Linked DNA regions of Danio rerio. The protein of the gene in region 4 interacts with the protein of the main gene of each other region in a biochemical or structural test. Links are inferred from orthologs where the notes say so. Each region holds a gene or a part of one and is shown on either strand. Other genes may lie near its edges.

Evidence for each region.
Region 1: the proteins of shc1 (region 4) and gab1 form a complex in vitro, tested with the Homo sapiens proteins (2 studies listed by BioGRID and IntAct, with this or other methods). The link is inferred for Danio rerio from reciprocal best matches to the Homo sapiens genes SHC1 and GAB1.
Region 2: the proteins of shc1 (region 4) and inpp5d form a complex in vitro, tested with the Homo sapiens proteins (2 studies listed by BioGRID and IntAct, with this or other methods). The link is inferred for Danio rerio from reciprocal best matches to the Homo sapiens genes SHC1 and INPP5D.
Region 3: the proteins of shc1 (region 4) and flt4 form a complex in vitro, tested with the Homo sapiens proteins (2 studies listed by BioGRID). The link is inferred for Danio rerio from reciprocal best matches to the Homo sapiens genes SHC1 and FLT4.
Region 5: the proteins of shc1 (region 4) and csf3r form a complex in vitro, tested with the Homo sapiens proteins (2 studies listed by BioGRID, with this or other methods). The link is inferred for Danio rerio from reciprocal best matches to the Homo sapiens genes SHC1 and CSF3R.

The regions. Positions count from the first base shown.
Region 1 is NC_133176.1:38,638,163-38,644,610, forward strand, and holds the start of gab1 (GRB2-associated-binding protein 1), read left to right. Parts: upstream 1-2,705; 5' UTR 2,706-3,199; intron 3,200-3,289; 5' UTR 3,290-3,339; coding exon 3,340-3,411; intron 3,412-6,448. UniProt on the Homo sapiens protein: Adapter protein that plays a role in intracellular signaling cascades triggered by activated receptor-type kinases. Plays a role in FGFR1 signaling. Probably involved in signaling by the epidermal growth factor receptor (EGFR) and the insulin receptor (INSR).
Region 2 is NC_133181.1:30,680,116-30,685,963, reverse strand, and holds part of inpp5d (phosphatidylinositol 3,4,5-trisphosphate 5-phosphatase 1), read right to left. Parts: intron 5,603-5,848; coding exon 5,515-5,602; intron 4,487-5,514; coding exon 4,340-4,486; intron 3,935-4,339; coding exon 3,871-3,934; intron 1,846-3,870; coding exon 1,645-1,845; intron 1-1,644. UniProt on the Homo sapiens protein: Phosphatidylinositol (PtdIns) phosphatase that specifically hydrolyzes the 5-phosphate of phosphatidylinositol-3,4,5-trisphosphate (PtdIns(3,4,5)P3) to produce PtdIns(3,4)P2, thereby negatively regulating the PI3K (phosphoinositide 3-kinase) pathways.
Region 3 is NC_133189.1:18,114,917-18,120,764, forward strand, and holds part of flt4 (vascular endothelial growth factor receptor 3 precursor), read right to left. Parts: coding exon 5,804-5,848; intron 5,692-5,803; coding exon 5,603-5,691; intron 5,489-5,602; coding exon 5,383-5,488; intron 1,909-5,382; coding exon 1,808-1,908; intron 430-1,807; coding exon 307-429; intron 1-306. UniProt on the Homo sapiens protein: Tyrosine-protein kinase that acts as a cell-surface receptor for VEGFC and VEGFD, and plays an essential role in adult lymphangiogenesis and in the development of the vascular network and the cardiovascular system during embryonic development.
Region 4 is NC_133191.1:24,103,806-24,109,653, forward strand, and holds part of shc1 (SHC-transforming protein 1), read right to left. Parts: intron 3,621-5,848; coding exon 3,494-3,620; intron 1,971-3,493; coding exon 1,811-1,970; intron 64-1,810; coding exon 6-63; intron 1-5. UniProt on the Homo sapiens protein: Signaling adapter that couples activated growth factor receptors to signaling pathways. Participates in a signaling cascade initiated by activated KIT and KITLG/SCF.
Region 5 is NC_133191.1:3,330,625-3,336,472, forward strand, and holds part of csf3r (granulocyte colony-stimulating factor receptor), read right to left. Parts: intron 4,119-5,848; coding exon 3,955-4,118; intron 1,539-3,954; coding exon 1,381-1,538; intron 1,286-1,380; coding exon 1,132-1,285; intron 1-1,131. UniProt on the Homo sapiens protein: Receptor for granulocyte colony-stimulating factor (CSF3), essential for granulocytic maturation. Plays a crucial role in the proliferation, differentiation and survival of cells along the neutrophilic lineage.

The DNA.
Region 1 (6,448 bases), on a different chromosome or scaffold from region 4:
TGAAATATGTTAAGAAGTAGCTTTTACTGAAATCATAATTAACATCCTTTTAAAAATACACACAATAAAATGAACAATTTAAATGATACACTAAATACTTCACTGCATTCAAATCAGTTGCTTCCTTAATTTTTTTAAAGTCAAATCAAATTACTTGTACAAGCCTTTTCAAGTTCAATCTCGCAACATCGGTGGAAACATGATTAACTTGTTTTAATGTTAAAGTAGCAATAAAAAAATGTCAGTAACACTTTATAATAACTACACACTATGAACTATTTATTAAGCATTAGAAAATAGTGAATTCATTATCTGTTAAGCATTAACTCTACATTAATAAACGTTAGTAAACAGTTTACTAAAGTTACAAATGCTGTATTTGTAGCTTTTTAAGTCAAATGCTTTACTTAGAACCACATTTATAATGTGCTTAATAATTGTACTTTCATACTTTGTTAATGATTTATTTTTCATTACTTAATTTAGTATTTAATTTTTACAAACCAGTTATTTAAGCATAGTTGCTTGTTTTTTAGGATTATTTAGAATGAGTTAGTAAATGATTTATAAACTGTTCAAATTAACATTTATATATCTTATTATTCAGGCATATAGTAATAATTCATTTGTATGTTAATAAATGCTTTATAACTCAACTTCATCCAGTTTTGTGACCTAATCTAAAGTGAGGACTATTTATGCTTTATAAATTCTTAATAAATGACAATTAAAGGCTCAGTTCTATTCTAAACACAAAAAAAGAAAACAAACGACTTTATTCACTCATATTCATTTGAAGATACACAGGTGAAATTGTATACTTCAATTGAAAAATAAATCTTTGCAACCTTACCTAAAATAAAATTGCTGTATAGTTTAAACATCACATCCTCTTATATTGCTTAATTATTATATTGTTGTTGTTTTAAACAATTTTATGTTGGATTTTGACACTCCTGTCATTTAGCAATGTTTAAACTTTACAGTGATTTTACTTTTTAGATAAGATTGCAAAGATTATTGTTTATTTGAAACTAAGCATTTTATCATCATTTATAAGAGATTTATAAAGCATAAATAGTCCTCACTTTAGACTAGGTCACAAAACTGGATGAAGTTGAGTTAATAAAGCATTTGTTAGCATACATAGTAACCATTAATATATACCTGAACAATATCCTTGATTAATATATACCTTGATTTTAATAGTTTATTAATCATTTACTAACTCATTCTGATCTTAAAAACCATCAACTATTCTTAAATACAATTGGTTTGTAAATAATGCAATACTTCATTAAATATGAAAAATAAATCATTAACAAAGAATGAAAATAATTATTATTAAGCACATTATGAATGTGGTTCTAAGTCAAGAATAGAGCATTTATAGCTGCAGTTATAACCTGCTTACTAACATGTATTAATGTAGAGTAACAGAAAATGAATTCACCATATGTTAATGCTTAATAAATGGTTCATAGTGTGTTGTTATTATTAAGTGTTACCAAAATGTCTTTTTGACTCATTAATGTATTTTAGTGTTAATTATGTGATCTGTGCACCTCCATAAAGTAAAAATTCCATTTTAATCCAAAACCTAAAATCACACGCTTAATGATTGTAGGATAATAATCTAAATCCTTTGCACTGAGTTGAAACTTAGAGCAGTGAGTAGGCACAAAGCTTCAGAGATAACTGAGTGAGGCGTTTAGCATTACAATAACATTCCAAAGATACCAATCCCACAAACGTGAACGTTCTTTACTGAAACTCTTCACTTTTCTATCATTGCCTGCAACCTTGTTCTTTGCTTTTAGATGTTAGTATTATTTTTCTAAAATAATCTTTTTCTGCACTTTAAGCCATACTGTATAAACAAATTCAAGTTTAGTGTAGGCCTATATTTAAATATGTACATCTCCTGGCTATAAATGTAGACTAACGTTAACTGACAACATTGATTTCAAGATATTTGCTTTAAAATGCCATTCGGTTCTTTTGAACAGCTCATTTAAAGATTCGGTTCAAAAACAACATCAGCGAGTCTTTTACGCCATGACGTAATTACGTCATAGTGTATCAAGAGACTTTGATGTTTTTATTTCTTACTTTTTCTCTACGTCTTATAAAGTGTATATCCGCGATGCTGTTTAGTTTTTTTGTGTTTTTATGTGTGAGTGACTGATCTGATTGCTTGTTTGTTAATTCAGGCATTTCTTGCCTAAATGTGATTTTCCTTCACGTTATAAATATATTAGCTACATACAGTAGTTTTACCCTTTTTACCATTTATATTTGTAATATCCTCAGTGAAGAAGCTCATCAATCAAGGATGATCAAAGCCGGCTCGGTTCAGAGACTTTTTTAACCATACTGAAGTGATAAATAGATGTATTGAGTGAAATCGGAATTATATATAATTATAGTCTAATCCATTTTTTTCTTTATTTTTTATCAGTGCGCGTTAATTGTTAAAAGATTATACACAAAATAACACTGCTACTTTGTTTTTCACAGTTTTAATCCAAATGTAAGTAAGATTTATTTGGGACGTAAGAGGTTTATTTACACCTATTCTTTGTAATGCGAGTCACCGTCCCAGTGTTTTCCCTCTGACGGGGCAACACTCCAAGACTACATTTCCCATGATGTAATGTTCTTTATTCTGTGTCTTGACCGACTTCTCCCTGCCTCCATAGGCCAGAGGAGGCTGAGTTTAGGGAAAGTATCGACGTTTATGCTTGTCAATCAGCAAGGAGCCGTGGGGAGTGAAACTGGAGGGAAGGTCGACGATCGGGGAAGATTTCCACTTCCAAAGGCACTTCTGTGCTAATGCGACCATAATGTTTTGGAAAAACAAGGAAAAACTGTACATATTTTCAAGGAAACTGTTTTGTTTTACTTTGAAATAAGGTAATCAAGCAGAGCTTTCACTACGCCGAACTTGGCGAGTATCAGTCGCTGCCTCGTTGCATATCAGCTCGGAAAAAAACGAAAACAGCGTTTTATTTACACGGACAGAGTGTGTAAACTAAAAGGGGACTCAACTACAGACGGATACATGTGTGTTTAAACAAACTGTGCTTGATATATTCCCTTCGGCAGAGGATAGGACTTCATCCAGAAGAGTTTGCGAGAGCCGCGTCGCTGTCGGGAAGCTCTTCCCGTGTGAACGTGCTGGAAACCAGGAGTGACGGTATTCATGTTGTTTCAAACACATGTGCTTAAAACACTTCAAAGCGCAACTTCCAACTCATGTTTAGAAATATGTTTTGATATGTTACAGGCTGAAACACGAAACTTAAAACCCGTGTTTTCCTCAAAGCCTTTAAGAAAATGAGCGGAGGAGATGTGGTTTACTCGGGGTGGCTCCGAAAGTCTCCACCTGAAAAAAAGTTACGGCGTTATGTAAGTAACGTTTTAGTTTTATTCAAATGCACCGACAGTGCAGTAACCGCAGGACTGTTGGGGCAAGATTCATGCAAATTTTCAGTACGCTTTCCAACAGCAACCGCAGGTCAATCACTGCTCGCGATCTGTCGGTTAAAGCTTTATCTTTCTAAAATGCGGACGATCCAAGAATAGTTTCAAAACGGGTTTAGTTCCTCATAAAAATGCGACTGAGTGTGTGTGTGGACGCTGTTTATGTGTTTATTGCACTGGGGTTGTTTTTGTGAAAGCTTTGCTTGTGCAAATCTTTATTTGTGGCGTCTTGATCGGTTCTGTAGACACACCTACCGGTATGGGAACTTTTTGATCAATTAAAGAAGCAGTTCCTTTATTTTTGTTGTTAAGATTTAAACATAAACAAAGAGCACTTTTAAGAAATATCACGAAACATTGGAACTCTGGTGCTATTTTTTTAGATAAGGTTATTTTTTATACACGACGTGGGTCGCCCCTCATGGGTGGCGCCATGTTGGTATCACATGACATAGTTGATCCAGGTACAAATAATAACAAAAGCAGAAATATTTGTTTATATAGTCCTTTAGCTAGTGCCCAGGCCATAACCATTAAGCTACATATACATATTTAAAGCGCAAACGGAACACATGGCTACTTGACAAAGTTTGAATAAATAAATATGCAGCTGCTGCAGATAGACAACTTGTGGTATTCTAGTTAGTACTGGAAAACTAGCTTCCAGTAAATGCACCCATAAGTGGATAAAATCAATACATGGATTTGTGTAGCATGGTAAGCAGAAAAAAAGAAAGACATAACCCAAATCAAACTTCACGCATCCATGCCAAGAGGAGTCAGTACAAGTCCAAGGCCTTTGCTACACCTGTAATCACAAAGAGCCAGCTGTGAAAACCAGTGTGATGCTTATTGTTTGATTTGAATATTGCCATGCATCAAGGTTGCAGAATACAATGCCGGTAAACAGATATATCAAAATAATTTTCAATGTATTCATTAGATTGAGTTGTAATGTTCAGCTCTTTAAATATCAGATCACTACTTGCCCCAATGATGATTGGTTACTTGCTCCCCTATCTTGTGTATTTTTTTTTGTTTTGCAATCATTCTGGTCTGTTGTGAAATTTTCAACATTTTGTTTTTAGACATTTTATTTTTCACCAAATCACACGAAATGCCTTTGTTTGCTGCAACTTTAGTTGCCAAGACAACTGAACACTTAACTCTCCATTCTATCTGCACTGGATGAGTCAATGCATTTAGTCATTCGCACATTGTATGTGTACCATGGGGTCTTCCCTTCCTCTTAGTGGTAATATACACCAATAATCTGTAATGAAATCACTTACTTACAGCTCTGCCTGCTATCGAGCTCCAACCAAACATGTTAGAAATCTCCTCCAGGCTCATGTGATGTTTTTTATTTATTATTGGATTCCTTTAATCTAGTGGAGCTCTTCTTGGAATATTGCTATTGAATTCATGTTTTATCTCATTGTGCAATCAGCAACACGTTTTAGACTCAAACAGCCAAGTATTTTACAAGATTAGAGTATTTGGCTTTTTCAGCCTTTGTGATTTAAGTAGCAGCTATTACATTTGACCTTGTAGTCAATCCAGGAAAATTCAATGGCTTGAGAGTGTGATTTCACATGCTTTGAACTGGCAGAGTAAAACGGTAGTCTGTTGAATGTGATGAACAATATTTCATGGCTCCAAATCTAATTAAAATGATTTCTGAGCTCATCCACACGATGCTATAATAAGATTAGATCGATGCAAGAACAAGTGCTTTGTTGTACAACGGTTTGTTCTCAGAAGTCATTTTTAGATTTCCTCTCGTTGAGAGAGATTTAAACAGCGTTTGTGGACAAAGGCCTTTGTCTTCTTTAGATGTTTTCATTATGCTTTAGAGTTAGATAAGAAACTTCCTTCAATTTATCCCTTCTTTCTTGTTTCAGTAAGCTTACAACCTTGTGTTACTGTAGTTTTGTAGTGCTGTCCTCAACATTGGGCTTCATTCTCAGTCTGTTTTCTAGTGAAGTGGTCTCAGAAGTATTGCATGTAGTGCTTGAAAGTGGCTGATTAGGACCAGACTGTTTTTACTGGAGTCAAGTGGCTAATAACTGAAATGCTTCTTTTCTAGAGGAGCCCCATGCCAGGTGTACAGGCCTATTAGACTTTTGAGCAGTTGTACATTTATCAGCAGATGTTCTAATTAAAGATGCATTTTGTAATGATTGCAGTGAATGAGCATCTGAAACTTCAGATGAAGCTGTAATTTTTTTAGCTTCAGAGTTCAGACAAATTAAATAGATAAGTTCATTCATTCATTCATTCATTCATTCATTCATTCATTTTTCTTTTCGGCTTACCCACTTTATTAGTCAGAAGTTGCCACAGCAGAACCACCAACTTATCCAGCATATGTTTTACGCCCTTTATTAGTGGATGCCCTTTCAGCCACTACCCAACTCTGTGGAAACACACACAGTCATTATATGTATTTATTTATTTTATTAAGTTTTTTAAATCGCACTAACTTACAAATGTTTACGGTTATGACATATTATTTGAACAAATAAACATTACTAATTGTTTTAATTAATACCTTAAAACTTTTTATTCCTCAAATAATCCTGAAAAGTCACAAATGTAGTAACGTTTTTTTTTTAAATAAGTTTTTTTGAGCACAAGATCTACAATATTAGGATGATTTTTGAATGTTTGACATTGAAAATCGCTTCTGTAAACTGAAAAAAGCCAACTTGAGTAATAGATTACATTTTAATGTAAAAATAAAACTTCAAAATAATTTTATTTAATATTAACGATTTTTATTTTAATAAAATATATTTACAATGTTGGTACACACATTACACTTAATATCTTGCCCCCTAAACAGTAGTTGGTGTCATTCACAACATTCTGCATCAACTCTCATTCTGTGTCATCTTGTTAACATGCCTTAGTTAAAAAGAAATCTTCTTTTTAGCTAGCTCATGTGATATCATTCATG
Region 2 (5,848 bases), on a different chromosome or scaffold from region 4:
CAAAGTTATTTAGCAATGTTTAAACTGTACATTAATTTTATTTTACATAGGATTGCAAATATTTATTTTTCATTTGAAGTACAGTTTAATTTATGTATCTTCAAGTAAATAGAAATTAATAAAGTTTTTTTTCCTTCTTTTCCCGTTTTTTTTCATGTTCACTTTAATTTTCATTTATAAGGGATTTATAAAGCATAATTAGTCCTCACTTTAGATTAGGTCACAAAACTGGATGAAGTTGAGTTAATAAAGCATTAATTAACATACAAATGAACTGTTAGTAAATGCATGAATAATAAGATATGTAAATGTTAATTTGAATAGTTTATTAATCATTTCCTTACACATTCTGGATAATCTTAAAAACCCACCAACTATTCTTAAATAACTAGTTTGTAAATGATGCAATACTTAATAATGTAATGAAAAAATAATCATTAACAAAGTATGAAAACACAGTCATTAAGCACGTTATATATGTGCTTATAAGTCAAAAATACAGCATTTGTAGCTGTATTTATAAACTCCTTACTAATGTCTATTAAAATAATGCAGATAATGAATTTACTATTTGTTAATGCATCATAAATTATTCATAGTGAATTATTCACAGGGCATATTTAAACACAGGTATACAACATATCATAGGTTTATTATCTCCACGTCCCTTTTGTAAGTTCTGTGAACCTCAGCGTTTAGATACCTTTTTACATATGATGTGAGAATGTCCGGAGGTGCAAAACTTTTGCAGATTCGGTGATAGACATTTTATTTAAAGTAACAAAAATTTCTTTCCCCAAAGATCCTGTATTGTTTTTATTGAATGATAACTCTTGATTTCTCTTAATTGCAAAGATCCATACATTTTTGGTTAGTGCTTCAACTGCTAAAAAGTAAATGTTGGCACAGAGGTAGAAACCTCCTCATGATCTTTCAGTTAAGCACTGGTTACATTCACTATTGGAAACACTGTATCTGGAACTGTCATCAGCACGGATCAACCATGCTAGACAAACAAACAAACAAAAAAAAATGTTCATAGTGTGTAATTATAGTGTTACCCGACGATGACGACGACGACGACTACTACTGCTACCACTACTACTACTACTACTACTACTACTAATAATAATAATAATAATGATGTTGATAATGATAATAACATTATTATTATATTAATAATCATAAATAATGCCTACAATAAAATACCAAAAATACTAATTTATTCATTCATTTTCTTTTCGGCTTAGTCCCTTTATTTATCTGGGGTTGCCACAGTGGAATGAACCACCAACCTATTCAGCATATGTCCCAACACTGGAAAACATCAAAAATACTTTTAACTTTAAAGTATTCTATCATTATAACAATAATAATGTAATTTCGAGCTTTGCCTTTACTTCATTTAACAGTTCAACAAGGAAGTAAGCTGTTTTCTGAGATGTTCTATTTTTGTGACTCCTACTCTTTACATGCATTGGTTCAATACAGGGTAAACTAGTGTGTTTATAACTATGACAATAATTAAAATAATACAATATAAAATGCTGGTCTGCATAACATGATGTTTTATACTGCAAAAAACTCTGTAATCGAAGTTAAATACCTGTGCATGTTTGTGTAAAAAATAAGGTGGATACTTACATAGGGTTAGATGTCTTTGCCGTTGGACTGGATGTAGCATGATCATAACTTGTCTTTTTTGGAGAGATATTGCCATGCGTCATGTCCTTTGATGGCCCTGTTCTTTGGGAAGTAAGGCTGCCAGGGGCTTGGATACCACTCTTATAGCCTACACCCATATAACTAGGGTTACTGATATCAGAAGCGAGGACTGAAGAAGACCTGTCAAAGAAGGTCAGATGGTTTATGTGTACAAACATGAATGTAATCTGTGTAAAGCATCTCAAAGGAAGTGGGAAATATAACAACATCAGGTTATCATCAAACGTGCTGTGATTTATATTAATTCATGTCAAGCAACCAAAACAAATGCAAAGTGTGCACATTTCTATTCAAGCAAAATAAAACAGACAGATCAGATTTTGTATAGCACACATTTCAATTTCACTTTAAATAAAAAATAAATTAAAAACATTTGAAAAAAAATTATAGGAAATGTTTATAATGAAAGCTATTATAATTTTTTATTATTATTTTATTAATATAAATATATATTTATATATTTATTTATTTATTTATTTTTTATTGTTATGGTGGCTTGAGAAAACCAACATACTGTTATACAACATAGATTTCTTCTTCTTTTTCTTCTTCTTCTTCTTCTTCTTCTTCTTCTTCTTCTTCTTCTTCGACTATTTTAAGAACATATCTCCTCCTAGACCGTTCATACTACAACCTCCTAACTATACTGAATTAAGTCGCTATATAGGGAACCGCCTAGCAACCACTTAGAACACCCTAGCAGTGCCTTAGCAGCCACTCAGAACACCCTATCAACCGCCTAGCAAGAAACATGCCAATTCACACTTGAAACATGCAAACATATATGTAGTTATCTATCTATGCCAACTTTTTATAACAACTTAAAAACTACTTCAATGATTTAAACTTTTAAACTACTTCAAACTGTCAGACTAGGCTTTCTCAAGCCACTATAAATAATAATAGAAATTCCTTACATTTATATAGCGCTTTTCTCGGCATTCGAAGCGCTTTGCACATAGAGGGAATCTCCTCATCCACCACCAGTGGGCAGCATCCACCTGGATGATGCAATGGCAGCCATATTGTGCCAGACCGCATACCACACACCAGCTGATTGGTGGAGAGGAGACGGAGTGATGAAGCCAATGATGATATGGGGAGGGTTAGGAGGCCATGATGGACAGAGGCCAGTGGGCAGATTTGGCCAGGGTGCTGGGGTTTAACCCCTACTCTTTTTCGAAGGACATCCTGGGATTTTTAATGACCAAAGAGAATCAGGACCTCAGTTTAACGTCTCATCCTAATGACGGTGCTCAATGAACAGTATAGAGTCCTTGTCACTATACTGGAGCATTAGGACCCACACAAACCGCAGTTTGGGCGCCCCCTGCTGGCCTCACTAACACCTCTTCCGGCAGCAACCTAGCTTTCCCATGTGGTCTCCCATCCAGGTACTAACCAGGCGCAGCCCTGCTTAGCTTCAGTAGGCGACCATGTGAAAGTTGCAGAGAGCTAGCTGCCGGCAAAAAATTTGCCTACGAAGTTTGCCTTTCTAGTTTACATCATTATTTATTAAAATTTTGTTTGACATTTACAGTAAATGTTTATAATGAAAGCTACTATAGAAGGGTGAGGCAGTGGCGCAGTAGGTAGTGCTGTCGCCTCACAGCAAGAAGGTCGCTGGGTCGAACCTCAGCTCAGTTGGCGTTTCTGTGTGGAGTTTGCATATTCTCCCTGCCTTCGCGTTGGTTTCCTCTGGGTGCTCCGGTTTCCCCCACAGTCCAAAGACATGCTGTACAAGTGAATTGGGTAGGCTAAATTGTCTGTAGTGTGTGTGTGTGGATGTTTCTCAGAGATGGGTTGCGGCTGGAAGGGCATCCGCTGCGTAAAAAAACTTGCTGGATATGTTGGCGGTTCATTCTGCTGTGGCAACCCCGAATTAATAAAGGAACTAAGCCAACAAGAGAATGAATGAAAGCTACTATATATTTTTTATTATTATTTTATTAATATAAATATGTTTTTCTATGTTATTATTTTTTATTTTATATTTATAATTCATTTTACTTTTGTTTTGTTTCCTTTTTTTAAATATGGAAACTTTGATTTAAAAAGGCATACATAAGTAACATAATACTTTTAGATATTACCATGTCATAAAATAACACATGTAAATTGTAAAGGAGTATTGAAATATTTTACATTTTCGTATTATCTCCTGTTTTGCCTTTTCCAGCTCCTGGATCATCTCCGACTTTAATGAAATCTAAAACAGAAAAAAGCCAGATTATTTTAAGAAAAGGGACATGGCCTCAATACTCTGAGACAAAACACATATTACAGCTTTCTTCTAGTTGTAACTACGGAAGCTCATTTCCACCTCAGAATAAAAAGAATAAAGGTAACACCATACTTAATCTTCTAATCCAAACATTCTTTATTACTCTTTTATACCTCAGACCTTTCTTCTCAGAACTTGTTATTCTAACAGTTGTACAGTATATTCAACCATAATTCTGAGGAAAAATGTTTTTCAGAAACAAACTCAAATTTAATTAAGCAATTAAATTATCCAATGCAAGAAATTAATCATTATTTAAATTGATATGAGGGCAGAAACAGGATTTCATTTGGCATGTAACAGACATTGCTGTACAAAGCGTGCACTCACCATACAGTTTCTCTGTCTGTTTTCCTTCAGATTTGGGCAGTTGAATGGCTCCTGTTAGCCAGCCTGTGCGTTCACCATGGTGTGTGAGTGTGATGCTGAATTCAGTGTAAGAGCTTTCAGCAGAGCGAAGCGCCACACAGCCTTCACCTAGAGACAGAGAACAAAATTATTGTGTTTACATACATAAAAACAGTCCAATACTAATTAATTATTAATTAATTCATTAATTCATTCATTCATTTTCTTTTTGGCTTAGTCTCTTTATTAATCTGGGGTTGCCACAGCGGAATGAACCATCAACTTATCAAGCATATGTTTTACCTAGCAGATGCCCTTTCCAGCCACAACCCAAAAAAGACTCGAAAAAACTCGAATGTCAAACCGTAGGACTTTGGACTTGACTTGAGACTTGTTGGCCTTTGACTTTGGACTTGAGGGCAATGAATTAAAATTTACTTGTGACTTGCCAAACAACGACTTTGTCCCACCTCTGGAAACACCAATACACTCTTGGATTCATACACATACACTACAGCCGATTTAGCTTATTCAATTCACCAAACTGCATGTCTTTGAACTGTGGGGGAAACCGGAGCTCCCGGAGAAAAGACATGCCAACACGGGGAGAACATGCAAACTCCACACAGAAATGACAACCGCCCCAGCTGGGGCTCGAACCAGTGACCTTCTTGCTGTAAGTTGCTAGCATTTGGAGGGGGTGAAATTCTAGGAGTTTTCCAGAAGACAGAACAAACTGGGAGATGGGTCTGAAATAAGGGAGATTCCCGGGAAAAACGGTAGTGTTGGCAGGTATGAATGGTACGTTTACCTAAGTATGGTTTTCCAATACTCTTTCCACCACTGCTCAACTCTGAGTTAAATGCAGCACTGCAGAAGAGCTTGTGAGTGCTCAGATATTTACATTAACAAAAATTAGAACAGGTGTAACTAATAGCTGTTGAGAATATATTAATACCATTGTTTTTTTTAGGATTGGACCGAGAAACTATGACTTGAGACCTAATAGGTGATGCTTTTTAAATAAATGTTACCTACATTTTAAGTAGAATATGGGCCTCAATCAGAAAATGACTTGCTTGCAGATGTGGTCAGTGAGCAATAGGCCAGTTTAGATTATAGGAATGTTAACTTTCACTTATTTTTGATGAACTTACCATATGACTCATCAGAATCCGTGGATTTAATGCAGATGAGGATGTGCTGATCAAGGAGGTATTCTGGATCTGCAATGATGGGTGTGAGCTGCAAAGTCATTTCACAAAGACCATGTAAACATGGTGGCTGAATTTTACCTCATAGTATTTTGGTGTCTATTAGCTTACCCCAGCATTTACTCACTATTTACTCACTCTCATGTGGTTTTAAAGCCTTTTTTAGTTTCTTTCTTCTGCTGAGCACAAAAGAAGGATTATTGAAGAAAGATGAAAACCTGTAATCATTGATTCCATAGTCAATGGTTACAGGTTTCCAGTTTTCTTCAAAATATTG
Region 3 (5,848 bases), on a different chromosome or scaffold from region 4:
TAAATGCTTAACTAGGTTAATTGTGTTAAGTCGGGAAGTTATGTCAAACAAACAAAAAAACTTTCTCCAGAAGAAAATATTATAGGAAATACTGTGGAAAGTATCCTTGCTCTGCTTAACAAATATCTGCAAAAAATTTACATTTCCCAGGAGGGTTAATAATTTAGTCTTCAACTTTTTAGCACCTTTTTAAAACTCTTGCAAAATCTTAACAGTTCCTGTGAGATTCACCCAGATATTATTCTTTAGAGATCTTTGTTGATCTTGATAGTGTTTTTTAGTAGAAGGTATAAGGGTTCCTCTTACATTGCCTTTGCGCACATAGTCAGGGTCTTTGTAGATGTCCCGTGCTAAACCAAAGTCACAGATCTTCACCACATTGTTCTCGGACAGGAGGATGTTTCGGGCTGCCAGATCTCGATGAATACACTGAAATACATACAGAAATCAAGATCATTTCAGAAAATATCTGTATGTACAGTTCTCAGCATATATAAGTACACCCCTCGCAAATCTATCTTTCAAATTCATATATTTATTAGAAGCTATCCAATTTTATATTTGTGCAAATGCATTAGATCAGTCAGTACTAAAGCCAAATCAAGAGCTTATCTAACAAAATAACTAACAAAAATGGTCCAAAAACCAGTACACCCAAATTTATATCTTTTTTTAAATATTAAATACAAATTAAAAAACAGGAAAAATCAAGAAAAGCAAAAAAAAAAATAATAATAAAATAAATGAGCTGAAATTTTGTAGGTTGTAAATTATTCTTGCAATATTCTGCTTGAATTTAATTGTATCTTGAATCTTTCAATTTCTAAATATGTTTGCTGACTAAAATATTATTTAAATGAATATATCTGTTAAATAATTTTTTTTTGTTTAAATGCATCAACATACATTGCCTATATTCACTGAGAAATGCATAAAACTATTCTTTTTCAAAATGGGGTATACTCAATTATGCTGAGCAGTGTATGTACACTATATATATAGTATACAGCGTATATACAGTGCTCAGCATAAATGAGTACACCCTGCACAGATCTCTCTTTTAAATTTTTTATTTTAACAGGATGCTTTACAGTAAAATATTATATTTTAAATTATATTATATTATAAATTATATTATATATTAAAAAATCACAGTCCAAAAATTTGTACATCCAAATTAGTATGTCTAGGGAAAATATGAAATTAACTTTTAATAAACAGGTAAAATTAATACATAACAAAAATATTACAAAATTTTGCTGAAATGTTATTATATTTGTATTATATATATAATTACGTGTGTGATCTGGGTATTTCAGTGCTGTTAAAGTGTTGTTTTTTATTCCAAGGGTTAAAGGTTTGATACATTGCATCATTATGTTTATATGACTGTGTTGAAATAATTTACTCTACCAACGTGTATTCTACCAATGATAAAAACTGTTGTAGGAAGATGTAACTGAGGACACTTTTGTGAGGTGAAAGGTGCAAGGTTGTAAAACGCTGGCAACACTGGGCTATTTGTTGCCATTTGTAACAATTTGCTTCCAGCTTTACAAAACCCTTTTTTATCATCATGACCTTCTTTTTTATAATCAATTTCACTATAAGAATTTTTTGACCACTTTCTTTGAATAAATTCAAACAAATTTTGAGGAGGTTTTAAATGATAACCTACAGACAAAAGGTAAACTAGACATTTACGATGGCAATAAAGTGTTAAAACATCTAAAGTTCAGCAATAACATACAAACTGAATAAAGGATTCATCACAGAGGTTAAGATTAAATAAATGTTTGAAAATTACCTTACGAGATGCCAGAAACTCCATTCCTCGTGCAACTTGAAAACTGTAGCATATCAGATCCTCTATTGTGAGTGGAGTTTTCCAGAGATCATCCACTGTAACTGGTGAAGGAGAAATTATTAATGCATTATAGTTGCTATTAACTTTAGTACACATTCAAGTGCACATTTAATGGTCCAGTGAAATTAAAATAAAGTTTTTTAGATGTTGGTATGCTAATCTTAAGGATAAATATGAGTTGTGGTACAAAATCGTGACAGAAATTTGCATTTAAAACATATACAGTTGAAGTCAGAATTATTAGCCCCCCTGAAATATTAGCCCCCTTGTTTATTTTTTTTCTCAATTTCTGTTTAATAGAGAGACTTTTTCAACAGATTTCTAAACATAATACTTTTAATAACTAAATTCTAATAACTGATTTTTTTTATTTTTGCCATGATGACAGTTAATAATATTTCACTAGATATTTTTCAAGACATTTCTATACAGCTTAAAGTGACAATTAAAGGCTAAACTAGGTTATTTAGGATAACTAGGTTAGCTAGGCAAATTATGGTAATTAGGCAAGTTATTGTATAATGATGGTTTGTTCTGTAGACTATAGATAAAGGGGCTAATAATTTTAAAAATTAAAAAGTACTTTTATTCTAGCCAAAATAAAACAAATAAGACTTTCTCAAGAAGAAAAAATATTATCAGACATACTTTGAAAATTTCCTTGCTCTGTTAAATATCATTGGCGAAATATTTTAAAAAAGAAGAAAATTTTTAAATGGGGGTTCAACTGTAAATATCAAAAGCTTGTGTGTTTGTCACATCTGCCTAAATCAGGGGTGACAAACTAAATTCCTGGAGTGCCGCAGCCCTGCAGACTTTAGTTCCAGCCTTGCTTCAACACACCTATCTGTAGGAATCAAACAAGACTTAATCACTCAATTAGAATGATCTGGTGTGCTTAATTAGGGTTGGAACTAAACTGTGCAGAGCTGCGGCCCTCCAGGAACTAAGTTTGACACATGTGGCCTATTGCCACATACTTGATCAGTCAAATGCTCTCTAGTATCTGACATGTCCTGCCCTTTTCAAGATGCTTCTCATTTGCTTTTCATTTGATACGATTGAACTCAACCGCTTCCACTGGCAGAGCTGTGAAAGAACAAAACGCTATTGGCTGTTTCTTAGGGGAGTAGCTACTTTATGTCCCAACCTCTATTCCGGTTTCAGTCAAATAAAAATGCACTTTTCCAAGAACTTCTTGGGACCTTTAAATCAGAAATTTGTCAGAAAGACTGTGTCAAATCTAAAGAACCGAAAAGTCTTTATGATGTTCTGTTTTTTTTTTTATTCATCCCAGTCTCAACCAGAAAAGCTTTCATAATCTCTGGTGTTTTTTATCAGCATGATTGATTCTGCATTCTTTTCCAAAGTTTAAATGCAAAAACCTCTAAATTCCATCTAGTATTTTTCTCTAAAACGAGAAAAACTAAAAATTTTATCAAGCTCCTGTGTGTATGTTCAGTAATATCACTTTTATGGCAAAAATAAGTCCTTTTCCTGGTCTTTAAAGTAAAGTATATCAACATAAACAAAGGAGGCTTTAAAAAAATGTTCATTTTGGATGGAAATTTCAGACGGCACTTAGAAGTTTTTGCATGTGAACTCTTCACTTACAGTCATATTTCAAAAATAATAATAATAACAACAACAATAACATTAACAGAAATACCTTATTTTTCCCCGATTCAAATATTATGGAATTACAAGCACACCTCTTTCAGGACTTTATGTTGTTGTTGGAAGCATAAGGCCCAGGTTTATTGCACTGTAGCATGTTTTAAATTCAAATATATGCCATTATCCCTGTGTAATATATAATGTATATAATATAGATCAAACTGTCAGTGCTATACATGGCTGAAATGACAAACCTGACTTGACAAGAATGACAAGAATGATGACAAAATGTCTATTTTTGGGTGAATTGTCACTTTAAAACCTACAGTTTACTGCATAAACCATGGCATGCTCTTCTCTGCCATGCTAAGTTCCTACTTTAAAATGGCACATGAGTGCACTTTAAAGTCTTTTTTTTTTTTTTTTGCAATATTGTCTACAAGGTAAACATCTTATTTTAATGTATGATACTGCTGCATTTTATTAGATAAATAAAGTTCAAGTATACTTCATTTTTCTTGTAAAGTTTATTGAAAATATTTAGGGAAGTAAGTAGCAGCCATTTTCCTACCAAAATTCATTCACAATATTTTGTTAACAAATAAATTCATAAAGTTTAAAACCACTAAGGTGGTCATTTTTGGGTGAACTGTCCCCTTAATAGTTTATACCCAGATAGCAAACAAACGTGGCCCACTTTACACCAGTTATACAATAGTGGTCTCCATTCGGCCCAGACAAATAGAATCTGAGCCTGAAATGGCCCACCTGTACAATGACAAAAGGGGGGCAAAGATTCCAATTCATATATGGGCCATTTAAGGAAAAAATTTGTCACTTTTGGCAAAATGTAATCTGAATGTGAGCCTAATGTGACCCATGTGGAAAATTTGGCCCAAATGACAGAGGATACATGTGGGCCACAGTTGGCAAAAATGTGGCATACTGTAGTCATTTAAGGTTAGTCTGCGTCTAAACTCGAAGTGGCTTGCATATGTAGGTGCAAATGTGGCCCAGTCATCTAAAGACATATGTAGGCCACTTTGCACAAATATTCAGCACAGTATACTCTGGCTAATGTGGGTGTTACCCTGTAGTGGCCCAGGGAAGATATGGAAAATTTGGCCCAGTTATCCTACCACATATGTGGGCCACTTTTGGCAAATATTCAAAACAGTAAGCTTTGGCAAATGTCGCTGTGACCCTAAAGTGGCCGAGAGAAGATATGCAAGAATGTGATTGCAAATGTGGCCCAATTAATCCTAAGACATGTGTGGACCACTTTTGGCAAATATTTGGCACAGTCTAGCTAATGTAGTTGTGAGCCTATATTGGTCCAGATGAGATATGGCAAATATGGGTGAGTATCTCTGGCTAAAGATGGTGAGAGCTCAAAGCAAATGAGGTAATATGTGGCAAGTATGGTACTGTTATCCTAAAACGTATAATGGGTCACTTTTGGCAAAGATAAAGTACACTGATCATTTGATAATTATAGGGGTCATACCATAGCTCTTTGACATGGTAAATATGGGTAGTAATAGCTAATTTGTGGCCTAGATCTGGAAAACAGGAGCGGACCACCCTAGAGCCATCATTCCATTCAGTATGTGGTCTGGATGTAAGTGTCTGGTGTGGGCCGGATCTGGGCTAGAATAAAAGCGAAGTGTGGCCCAGAATAGCGCCAGTTCTGGATCATTTGTTTGAATTCTGGCTAATATGTGACATTGCTATGGCTTTTGTGGCCCAGATCTGGCAAACAGTAGCGGATCGCCCAAGTGCCATCATTCCATGCGGTATGTGGGTCAGATGCAAGTGTCTGGTGTGGGCCGGATTTAGGTCACATGAATTTTGCTAGCTAGGTATACTCTTCCCATTGGTCTTCTGATTTCTCTTACCACGTGGAGGGTTGGTGGAGGAAGTGGACGGCTGATGCTCACTCTGGCTCGCCTGACCTGCTTCTATCATCCGTCGCACTTGACTTTGGGTTTTAGGAGAACGATCCTGCAAACGCATGCACATCTCATATTGAGTTATAGTTGATTGTGGGTGTTGAGGGTGCAGCCTACTGTCTGTGTAACATCAGGTTACATAAATAAACATTTCAGTCTCTCTCACCCTGTATGGTAAAAAAAACTCCCTCTTGGCACGCAGGAAGTTGGACAGATTTCCATATTTACAATACTCCACTATAACCATGAGAGGACCTGATAAACAGATATAGAAAAGAAGTTTTAAAAAGGGCTGCCGACAAACCAATTTATCACAATAATTGGTAACAGGGAATAAAAACATCCTTTCCTAATTCTCCATCCATACCGTTAGGTTTGGTACAAGCTCCAAGAAGGTTGACAACATTGAGAT
Region 4 (5,848 bases):
CTGACCTGGTAGTGGAGGAAGAGGCTGCTTGTGAATGTCGTTCTGGCTCGGCTGTCCATAGGGCTGTGGAGATACAGTGCAGTGGGATGGTGACATATTTATTCAGTGTGGGTGTTTCATGAATGAACAAAGCAATTTAATTCATTTTTATACACTGAATCATGCTTCTTGTACCCTGAAGTCTCTCTTTGGAAGCCAAAGTTTAAGTAAGTTGAGTTTTAGTTTCTAGTTTGGGAATAATTTGGGGCATTTTTAGACTTTTAAGAGCCATCAACACTGATTTCAGTATGTTCAAACAACAAATGAACATATTTTTACTAATATTTGATTTAATTAAACTCGGTACACCTTGAATATATGGCTGTAATATGCTAAATTTAATTTCCTAAATCTATTATTTTGATAATGTTTAATGTATTAAGACAGTAATACAACAAGATTACATTTATAAACTGTTGAATGTATGTATGTTCTATCCTCTGGGTCTTAAAGGGATAGTTCAACCAAGACAAAATTATGTCATCCTTTACTCATTATTCACATGTCCCAAACCTCTTTCTTTCTTCTGTTGAACACAAAAGAAATATATTTTGAAAAATGTTGAAAACCTGCTACCATTGATTTCCATAGTATTTGCTTTTTCTACTATGGAAGTCAATAGTTACAAGTTATTAATATTTTTCAAAATATCTTCTTTTGTACTCAAATAAATGCCTGAAACGACTTGAGGGTGAGGTAATACACTGAATAAAATATTCATTGACTTTACTTATACAATTTTTTTTAAGGTAAGTGGTTGCAAACAATTCATTTGGTCTGAATTTTAACAAACAAATAAAATAATCAAATTAAACATTACTACATTCAATTTGTTTGTTTAAATTCAACCCATATAAATAGTTTGCAACAATATTTTTTTCTCTGTGTATTTTATTAAAATGTACAATTTTAGGACGGCAGAATAGCCTAGTGGTTAGTGTGTCGACATATGGTGCTGTAGCATGTCAGGTCGTCCCGAGTTCGAATCCCAGCTTAAGGACATTTCCCTACCAAAAAGAGTAAAGCAGTGGCGCAGTAGGTAGTGCTGTCACCTCACAGCAAGAAAGTCGCTGGTTCGAGCCTCGGCTGGGTCAGTTGACGTTTCTGTGTGGAGTTTGCATGTTCCCCCACAGTCCAAAGACATGCGGTACAGGTGAATTGGATAGGCTAAATTGTCCATAGAGTATGAGTATGTATGGATGTTTCCCAGAGATGGGTTGCAGCTGAAAGAACATTAGCTGCCTAAAACATGTGCTGGATAAGTTGGCTGTTCATTCTGCTGTGGCGACCCCAGAATAATAAAGGGACTAAGCTGAAAAGAAAATTAATGAATGAATGTACAATTTTGGTTGAACAATCCCTTTAACAAGGTCATTGATTGTGATTTCTTTTTAGTAACACTTTAGTTTAGGTTAATTAGCTAGCTAGCTAGTTTGTTAGTTAGTTAGTTACTGGCGAAACGTTTCCTTCAATGTGCAAAAGGAGGCCAACAAATAAGAACACACTGGACCAGCAAAGCAATCATAAGACGTTGAGGATGACATTTTAATAGAACCACAAAGAGGTTAAATGTGTAAAAATCAATTCGATATTTTTAAAACAAATAAACACAATCAAGCCTTTGAGAATTGCAGATTAACCACCATTTTCATACCAGAAAGACAAAAATGATCAAACATGTTAATGCCAGTGAAAGAAATCAGGACAATGAAAGGTGCGCGTTTATCACTAAAGCAAACCATTTGATGAATCACTAAAACAAGAGTCTAACCAGCGTGGGTCCTGTACTGTGTCCGGGACGGGTCCTCATGTCCACTAAACCACCAGGAGGAGGCTGTTTGCCGGGGAAGTTGTTGTAATATGGCACCTCTGGCGGAGGAGCCAGATCTTCTTCCTCTTCCTCCCACGCTGACCCATCAAACGGAGCCATGCTAAGAGACGGAGACAGATAAAGAAGCACAATATTATATTATTATGTTTACATGGACATGCTGTTTGAGAGATTTTAAATGATGCACTTCTTTGTTGTGAAACCAGCAGAAACAAACACACGCTTGGCGAAATGACAGTGGGAACAGCAAACAAATGGATCAGATTATCTTCCAAAACTAAGTTTATAAATTCTTGTATTTTTACATTTGTAAAAATACTTTAAACAAAATACATTTCCTTATTGCATCCTAGTGCACAAAAATTCACATTCTGTCAGCATTCACTCTTCCTTTACTTGTTTTAAACCTTTATGAGTTTCTTTCCTCAGTTAAACACAAAAAAAAGACATTTTGAAAAATGCTGGAAACCTGTAACCATTGATTTCCATAGTATTTGTTTTTCCTACTATGGATGTCAAAGGAAACAGCTGCCTTTCAAATATCTTCTTTTGTGTTCAACAGAAGAAGGAAACTTGGAACCACCTGAAAAAGAGTTAATAGGGAGTACATTTTCATTTTTAGCTTTTCACTAATTTGTTTTAAATTGAAGGTCATTTATCTTGTTTTGACCTTTATTTTTAGTACCACTGTAATTAACAATCCTAAAATAGATTTAATACTGTTAAACAGTGTAGGTTTGTATTTCAAAATATATTATCATATCAAGGGCGACGCAGTGGCGCAGTAGGTAGTGTTGTGGCAACCCCAGATTAATAAAAGACTAAGCCGAAAAGAAAATGAATGAAAGAATGAATTAGCCAAAAATATTAAAACACCATGTCAATGTAGTTTGCACATTATGATTTTGCAGAGTATGATGTGATCCTGGATTAATATCTATGTTGATCCTGGAACATCATTTTTGTTCGAAAAATCTAATCCATACCTATTCACTACCCCTAAACCCAACCATAACTGTAGATTATTCTTAAAAAAGGGTAATAATAGTTGAATAAACTGTAAGCCTAAACTTAACATAAACGGGAAATATATTCCTTAATTCTGATTGGCTGATTGTAATGTTGTTCTAGGGTAAACACAGATGTTGATCCAGGAACATGTCCTACTTGGTAAAATCAGGTTAGGGAATATATTTTTTAGCCTTATAAGCCTCTTGTCAGTGTTAGTACTACAGTAATGTCAAGCTTTAGTTAGAAAAAAATTGAAAAATTATTTTGAATGAGATGCTGGCAATGCAGTGGCGCAGTAGGTAGTGCTGTGGCGACCCCACATTAATAAAGGGACTAAGCCGAAAAGAAAATAAATGAATGAATGAATTATCATATCAACACTGACAAGTTTTTCAAGCTTGTGTATTCAAGACTCTTGAATGACGTTCAGAAACAATGCTTCTGTTCAACAAGCTTGAAATGGTGTGTATGCACACACGTACACATACAGGATATTAAGGGGGTTTCCGAAGACCCTAGGGAGGTACCGTCATTAATCAATGTGCACACACTCATCTAAACACACTGACATTAATGTAAACATTTGCACTTTTGTCCAAAAATGACTCTTACCGGTCATGGGGGGTGACCACTTTGGGTGGGTTTTTTAGGTATTGTTTAAAGCGGAGCTCGAAAGCCTGACCTATGGTGCTGATGACCTCCTGAGCCAAGCCTTCAGAGCACTCCAGGATATGACACGCTACAACACAGGATAGAAGATATTATATATCAAGACCGAACAAGTAGACATTCCTTCCATCAAACGAATGGTTCACCCAAAAACATTCAATCCTGCTAAACCTTTTCGTTCAGCAATTCAGTCCTTAAAGGGGTCATAAACTGAGAAATCAAATATCCCTTGATCTTTTCACATTTAGAATGCCATTGGACTAAACAATCTGTAAGTTTTAAAACTAAAACAGTTTTCATTGAAGCCAGTCTACTAAGTTGACAGGTTGCGGAATAACTAGCCACTTTATTACAAAATGTTTAACCAAAACTCTACCTCCATCAACATCTGCTTCTACATCACTGCCTGTTAAGCTCTGCCCACCATTTTTGAGTTGAAACGCATCAACAATAAAGATGACAAACAAAAAGATGCTATGTAAAGCCAGACTGTGTCAAAATACTGTCTTTGCATTGCTTTCCTTCAAGTCCCAATATAAGGAAAGTGTCAATGGACTTTATTTTTAAATTAATTTCTAGACTGGATCAGGAGGGCATCTAAGCCAGCTTCTATTCAATCCCTGGGACTCTGCGATGGTTGTGGAAAGATTGGCAATAAAATTTTATGAACTTGCTTCAACCGGCAGAGCCACGGAAATAAAAAAGCAAATAATGATTAAAAAAAACATTTATAATAATAATAATAATAATAAATTATTTAACAAAAGTGAGAATTTGTCCTTTGTTCATTTACTTCATTTTGCTGCAGATTTTTTCCCAAACATCAGACATTCAATGCTGGATTTTCAAAAAGATCTAAAGTGACCAAATCTTTTTTAATTGAATCTCACAAAAAATGCACAACATTTATTCATTCAAAAAGTTCATTACACAAGATCTCAAACAGATGTGAGAACATGATGAAAAGATCAATTAATAACAATTGCATCAGTTAAAAATAAAAATGTATAGGTGTGCTAAGGGAGTACTTGCAATTAAGTGTTTGGAATGAATCTGACCTTAAAATACAAAAGGAATTGTCTTCAAAGTTTAAAAAAATCTTTTAATAGAGCCTTGCAGGGAATATTTGAGCTTTAAATATAAGCTGTAAGTACGAACAAATAATTTATAGAACTTTAAATGTGCCATACAATTTTCTAGCCGAAAATATTAAAAGACCATTTCAATGTAGTACGCACATTGAAATTTTTACAGAGTATGATGTGATCCTGGATTAACATGAATGTTGATCCTGGAACATCATTTTTGTTTGAAAAATTGAATCCTATTCCCTACCCCTAAACCCAACCATAACTGTACATTATTCTCAAAATCAGAGGGCAATAATAGTTCAATCTGATTGGCTGATTGTAATGTTGTTCTAGGATAAACACAGATGTTGATCCAGGAATGATCATGAAATCAGGTTAGGAAATATGTTTCCGAGCCATATCAGCCTCTGTCAGTGTTAGTACTACAGAAGTGTCAAGCTGAAACTAGAAAAATTATGACAAAAATATTTTGAAAGAGATGCTAATAGTCTAATCCGATTCAAGAATCTATGCTAGGTTAAGCTAAAGGTGCTCATGCTAGACCCTGAGATCGGCTGAATAAATAAAAAAAATGGTAAAACTCTAAAAAGTGCTCATTTAAAGTATGATCATTCAAATCTAAGAGTTAGTTCACCCAAAAATGAAAACTATGTTACTATTAATTACTCATCCCCATGTCATTCCAAACCCCTGAGACCTTTTTCAGTTTTAGTTAACAAAGAGAGCTCCCTCATCCTCCATAGACAGCAATGGTCCAGGGATGTTCAAAGTTCGGAAAAATATCAAAAACCATCCTCAAAACAGATCATATGCTCAATCAGAATGTCATCAAGCTGTGAGAATACTGTAATGTGTATGTGTATATCATCTGATGGTTTTAAATGATTTAAAAATGAACATGGATACAGTTTGTGTATCGCAAGTTCCCACGATTTACATTTTGTGATCATATCTCTATTTTGTTGTGTCCAATTATTACTTGTAGTTTGAAACAAATGAAAGTATGACCAAATTGTGCTGCATTTCTATGGAGATCCTAGTGTAGCTGCCATTATGGCCCTTTGATTTTATGCCCGCCAAGTCTCTGCGCATGTTACGTGACTGAAAACTATCAATAGGGCGCTTGGTCGCTCTGTTGATAAATACCTCAGATGTACTGTACTGTGAGAAAGTTGCATGCAGGCATCTAGGGGCATGTACAAATACA
Region 5 (5,848 bases), about 21 Mb from region 4:
AGTGAATAGCAAGATATTAGGCGTTGATTACATACATTTCTACTCTTTCAAAGCACTACACTTGCCCGCGCACCTGTAATTAAACTAAAATGCAATAGTAATTTATAGTATAAAGCTTTTGAACCATACTAAAGTGTATTATTTATAACTATTTTTAAAAAAGCCAATGCATATTGTAGTATAGTGTGTAACGGAGGCCACACTCATACACATAAGCCTCACTCCCATAGCCTCCTCCTGGTTTACAATTCTGCGTCAAGTGATCGGCATGACCCATGATGCCTGCCTTGCAGGTAGTCGTGCAACTAGACTTCTGCGTGCTGTTTGTGTTGGTCTGCAATAACACTTCCAAAACGCTAGCAGGCAGTAGGTTTATATGTTCCTCTGTGTCAAGTTTCTTTGCTGGTATTTTTTTTTTATGAACGCTATAAGTAGCTAAAACTAGCTCATTCAGAGGCAGGAACTGGCGGACGGGCAACAACTTTAATCATGAGGTAAACACAAAACAAAAGTTTCGATCTGGAGCTCCTTCACGTGACTTGACACTTGTAAAACACTCGCTCCATCGGGCTCCATCAGTACCACCCACACTCAGCACAGCTACCAAGGCGACCAATCACAGAGCTTCTGATGCGTCGCCATGCATCATCGTGTATTTACATTTTTTGAGAGGTGCGTGTCAGCCTTCGTGAGGGCTAAAGGCTGATAATATTTCTGCATCAAAGACGCATAGTCCTCGGCGTGGCCGTCGCGCACCTCTCAAAAGAGCTACAAATGCCCCTGTGTCAGCATGGTGGCAGATTTAAAAACAAGACTAACGTCCTATGCTAATGAGGGAGAGATGGTCACTAGAGGGCGGGGCTTTCCCCCTCTGAAGACACGTACAAAGGGAGAATGTCAATCAAAGTGTTTCAGCAGCGTTAATAAATAATCTGATGGGTATTTTGAGCTGAAACTTTACCGAAACTTTATCCTGGAGACACCAAAATCTTATCTTACTTGTTGTAAAAGGGGTCAAATCCAAGCCCTTTAAAAATGATAAAAAACTAAACTTTTTTTTTTTTTAATTATTTTGGAGATGCTTAAATCTACGATCGCCCATGTGGGAGCCATACTGAAATCATTCCTTACCCTTATTAAGTGTTGTAGCAGTTTTTGGGTCACTCCATTCACTCCATTCACTAGTTGCATAATATTTCACTCTCACTGTGCTTCTGTAATCTGTCCAATGGAGGAGGCTACACACTTCAATCGGATTTAGCTGTAACTGCCTGGAGGTATAAACCTAAAGCAGAATAAAAACATTTTAGACACCTTTTTAGATAACTGACAGTCTCACCTTGTGGAAAAGTGATGTCATCGTGTTTAGCTTTGACTCACCAGGTCTTTGTTTGGCTGGTTGTTCACGGTTTTCAATCTTAACTGCACAATGAAGGTCAACTGCAGCCATTTCTGAGTCTCCGAAAGACTCCAGCTGTATTTTAAACAGCCATACCTGTGAGCTTCAATCCTGGTAATACTTGGAGGATCAAACTTCACTGAAATAAAATACAGTAATAAACACTCAACATCTTTTTTATGGACATTTTGGGCTTTTTATAACTACTTTCATGGCTTGTTCTTCCATTCAGAGAAGATCAATATTTTTAATTAATTAATTTATTTTTAATTACCTGATGCAGGATTGTGTATAAGTGACAGTGTAGTGTAGAATCTGTAATACTCATCAAATAGGCTAAAATATAATGCAACACACTTAGGGCCCTATCATACATCCGGCGCAGTGTGGCGCAAGACGCGGCGCAATAGTCTTTTGGTAGTTTCAGCTTGGCGCAAGAGTCGTTTTGAGGCGTTGCGCTACGCTGTTTAAATAGCAAATGCATTAGCGCTCATTTGTGTGCCCATAGGTGTTCTGGTCTAAAAAGGAAGGCGTTCTGAGGCGGACCGCTGGCGCGTTGCTATTTTGAGAAACTATAATAGATTTTTCATTAGACCAAAACAAACCCGGTCTAAACTCCGGCGCAGAGTTACTCCTCGCTTACACACTGCTTAATACACACAAGAGAGCAATAGGCAAATATCTTTACATAAGAAAAATATTAAATATTAAGGATATATATAGGATATAATAAGAATAGATATAGAATATAAATATAAAAGATTAAAATATTAAAAAACATATTATTTTCTAGCCTACATAAATATGAAAAATCACTGCTTTTATGTCTTCTTCATCTCGGGAGGCTTTTTCAGTTCATTCATAACAATTTGCTTTTGTATAATGTTATTATTATTAGCAGTATTATTTATTATATCCATATTTATATTTGTTTTATTAAAAACAAGCTTAGATTTGCCCACCTGTCATGTTTTAGACCATATGGGGCACAGCATGTGTTTTAGGATATAACTCAGGTTTTTGAGCACACTTTGCTATTATTATTCATTTATTCGTTTGCTGGAAATTAGAACTGAATTTAGAAATAGTTTTGAAACGAATATTTGCGCTTAACAAACAAAAGTATTTATTTATAGACTAATTGATGTCTGTGCGTAAAGGTGTCCCTATCCACGAGCGAATGTAAAAGTAGATCCATTATCCCTCATTCTCACGCAGTAGATGTTCTGTTTAACAGTTTTCTGTTAAAGAACTGTCAACTGTGAACTGTTTGTTTGTGAAATGCTCAGTTTTTCCACTTAGACTTACTTTGCGTCCTGTAAATAGCGAATGCGCTCTTGGCGTGACGCAGCTGACTCTTAAAAGGAATGGGAGATGAGACTCTAATTGGTTTATTCTCAAAACACACCTATAACTTATGAAGAAAATAAACTCAACCCTTTTAGAACCACGGCGCAAGGCAGATTTCCCGTCCTTAAATTAGCAAAAACGCGTCCTGACACCGCCTGAAAGCATTTGCGCCCTGCATTTTGCGCTCTGCGCATGGACCGTCAAAATAGAGCCCTTAAATTGTATTGTAATTGTAACGTAGATCTAGCTCCCTCTTGAGGACATATTGTGCATTTCACTTTTGCTAAATTTGCAGTAATAGCCCGTTTCCACTGAGTGGTACGATTCGGTATGGTTCGGTACGCTTTTATGGTCGTTTCCACTGTCAAAAGGTATCTAAAGAAGAACCGTACCATAACACTTTTTGAAGTGGTACCAAAAAAGGTACCAAGCTGATTGCTTTTGGTTTACAGAGACATGTCACTCGCTTGTGGACAAGCAGGATAATAAAAACAAAGGAAACGCCATTTTTAAAAACGGCAGTTCTGTGGGCGCAAATGCCTTGTTGATGCCAGAGGTCAGAGGAGAATGAACTGGTTCCATCTGATAGAAAGACAACAGGTACTTAAATAACCACTCGTTACATGATGCTATCATATCAGCATTGAGCAAAATCTCTAGGCTGCGTCCGAAACCGCGTACTACTCAGTAGGTACTACATTTGAATTTAAACGTACTACTCGGCCGTTAGAATAGTACGTTCTTTACAGAATGTGAAAAGTATGAATGGAGTTTGGACGTACTACATCCGCCATTTTGTCATAGTCACATGACCTACCTGCGTCAATTGCGTCGCTTTACACCCATTCATGAGTTCCCTCGTGGGGTATCATGGGATAGCGCAGCGTGCATGGAATACACACTCCGGAATCTCGCCGAAAGTCATAAGTCATCCGGGTACTTCTCGCATACTGATTTTCGAATTTAATGAATTCAGACACACTACTCGGCTCGCATACATATTGCATAGTATAGAAGTATGCGGTTTCGGACGCAGCCTCTGAGTAATATTTCCAGAACCTTGTTGAATCTATGCCACTAAGGATTAAGGCAGTTCTGAAGACATAGGTGTACCTAATAAAGTGGCCGGTAAGTGTATATATTAGCAAAACCCCTATATTCATCAGCTCACATTTAAAGTCTTATCAGTTAAATGACCCGTTTACCTGTGTTCAAAGGGGTGAGTTTCAGAGGATCAGTGGTTGTGTTTCCAAAGACATTCGCTGCTGTCACAGAAATCTCCAGCTCAGTAAAATAGCCGTATGCGTCCCGTGGAACCACGTAGAAGTGCTGCCCGGGTGGGACCGCATAAACCTTTTGTGACTTGGCCCTGGAAAAATCAAATGAATAAAATGTACAATAGTTACGTCAGCAATCAAGTTGAATTTTTCTCTACATCAGTGTTTCTCAACCACGTTCCTGGAGGACCACCAGCACTGCATGTTTTGGATGTCTCCTTTGTCTGTCACAAAATTGTCTGTCAGGAATGTGGTTGTCACTTCTGGCTTGCTTGGTTTTGGACTTTTGGGGCTGCACATTTATGGATTTGCCCTTTAAACTTTGGACTTTCAGCAGTGAAACATGTAACTAAACTGAACTTCAACTCTGAAAACTGGACTGACACTGTTTCAACTTACTAAAAATTAAAGCTTTAGCAATAGTTCTGCCAGGAAGACTGGTATGTTACGTCATTTATAAAAGTTATCTCGTCATCCTATAACAACCAAGCGCGGTACATATAAACCCATCTAAACAATCTGTGTTGCTGTACTCAGGTGACGTTGCGAAAGCTTCCCTCCATCCTCCCCACCACCACCAGGTTGGCCTCGTCTCCCCTCAGGGATTGGCTTCACCCTGCCTTCATCTTTAGGCAGGATCTGCCAGCTCATCCAGAGCTCTACAACATAGATAGGCTTAAGCCAAAGGGCTTTATAAAAGGACAGTAACAAACTTACATTTATCCATCAATTCACGATAAATATCAAAACATTTATCTGCTTCTTTCTGGTAGAACTTCTATGTTAAAGGGTCATGACGCCCCCCACTTTCGGTTCAGCTCTACATCAGATTTTTTTTTTTTCAAAAGATGCATCATAATGGGGGTGGAGCTCCATGAGCAAAGGGAAGGAGTGGGCGTGGCCAGCAGGGGAGAAGGAGGGGAGTGAACAACTGTTGTCAGTTGGCTCACAAAATGAGACACAAACCATGAGGAGTTTATAAGGTAAAATGCAAAGAAATATACAGTAATTTAATCCCCCCGCTACATTTGTTATTTGTAATTTCATATACAGACAACCACAATTTATATCATTATGAAGATAATCGTGTTCACATAAACACTATAAATGAGGATTCTTCCTCAATCTCCAGGTCTGAATGCAGACTCAGTGCAGCAGGTCTCTTGCCCTGTCTATTTTAACCATTAGCCCTGTTGGTAATCTGGAGCATTTAGGCAAACACAGCAGCACAGCGCTGTGTCTAAATGTGAACAAACTCCTGATAAAAGACAACGTCCACCATTCTCCAATTCTCGTACTGCTCTCCCGACAAAAATGCTTGCTGCATACAAACAGCTTTGCTGTATCGGCGGCCCTGACAGCATTGCAGGGAAAAACATGCAACAAACCCTGTGGATCATGGAAACAAGCACATACGACCCTTTATTAACCGCTAAATACTGTGTGCCGTGGGTCTGTGTCTCACAGCTTGGCACTGGCAGGTCTGCTTTGCCTTCGGAAAGCACATGCAGTCATAAATAATTAAGAAGCCGGCTCTCCTCATAGGATAAGAAAACTCAGCTATGAATATGAATAATAATGAGAAAGTGACGCGTCATCTTTGCACTTGCAGTTTTGCATTACGTCGCCGATTTTTATCCGCCCCAAAAATAATTTTAAACCTGAAAGCTGAAATTATTTGACAAAGCTCAAAATGATCCAGTTTTTCCCACAATTACAGCTGACAGGTGCTAACATTGTCTTAACTGATGCTCAACACACACACAAATCTGCTAAAATCTCAAAAAAAGTACTCGAAGGTTTCGTGAACTTTTAAGCTGCT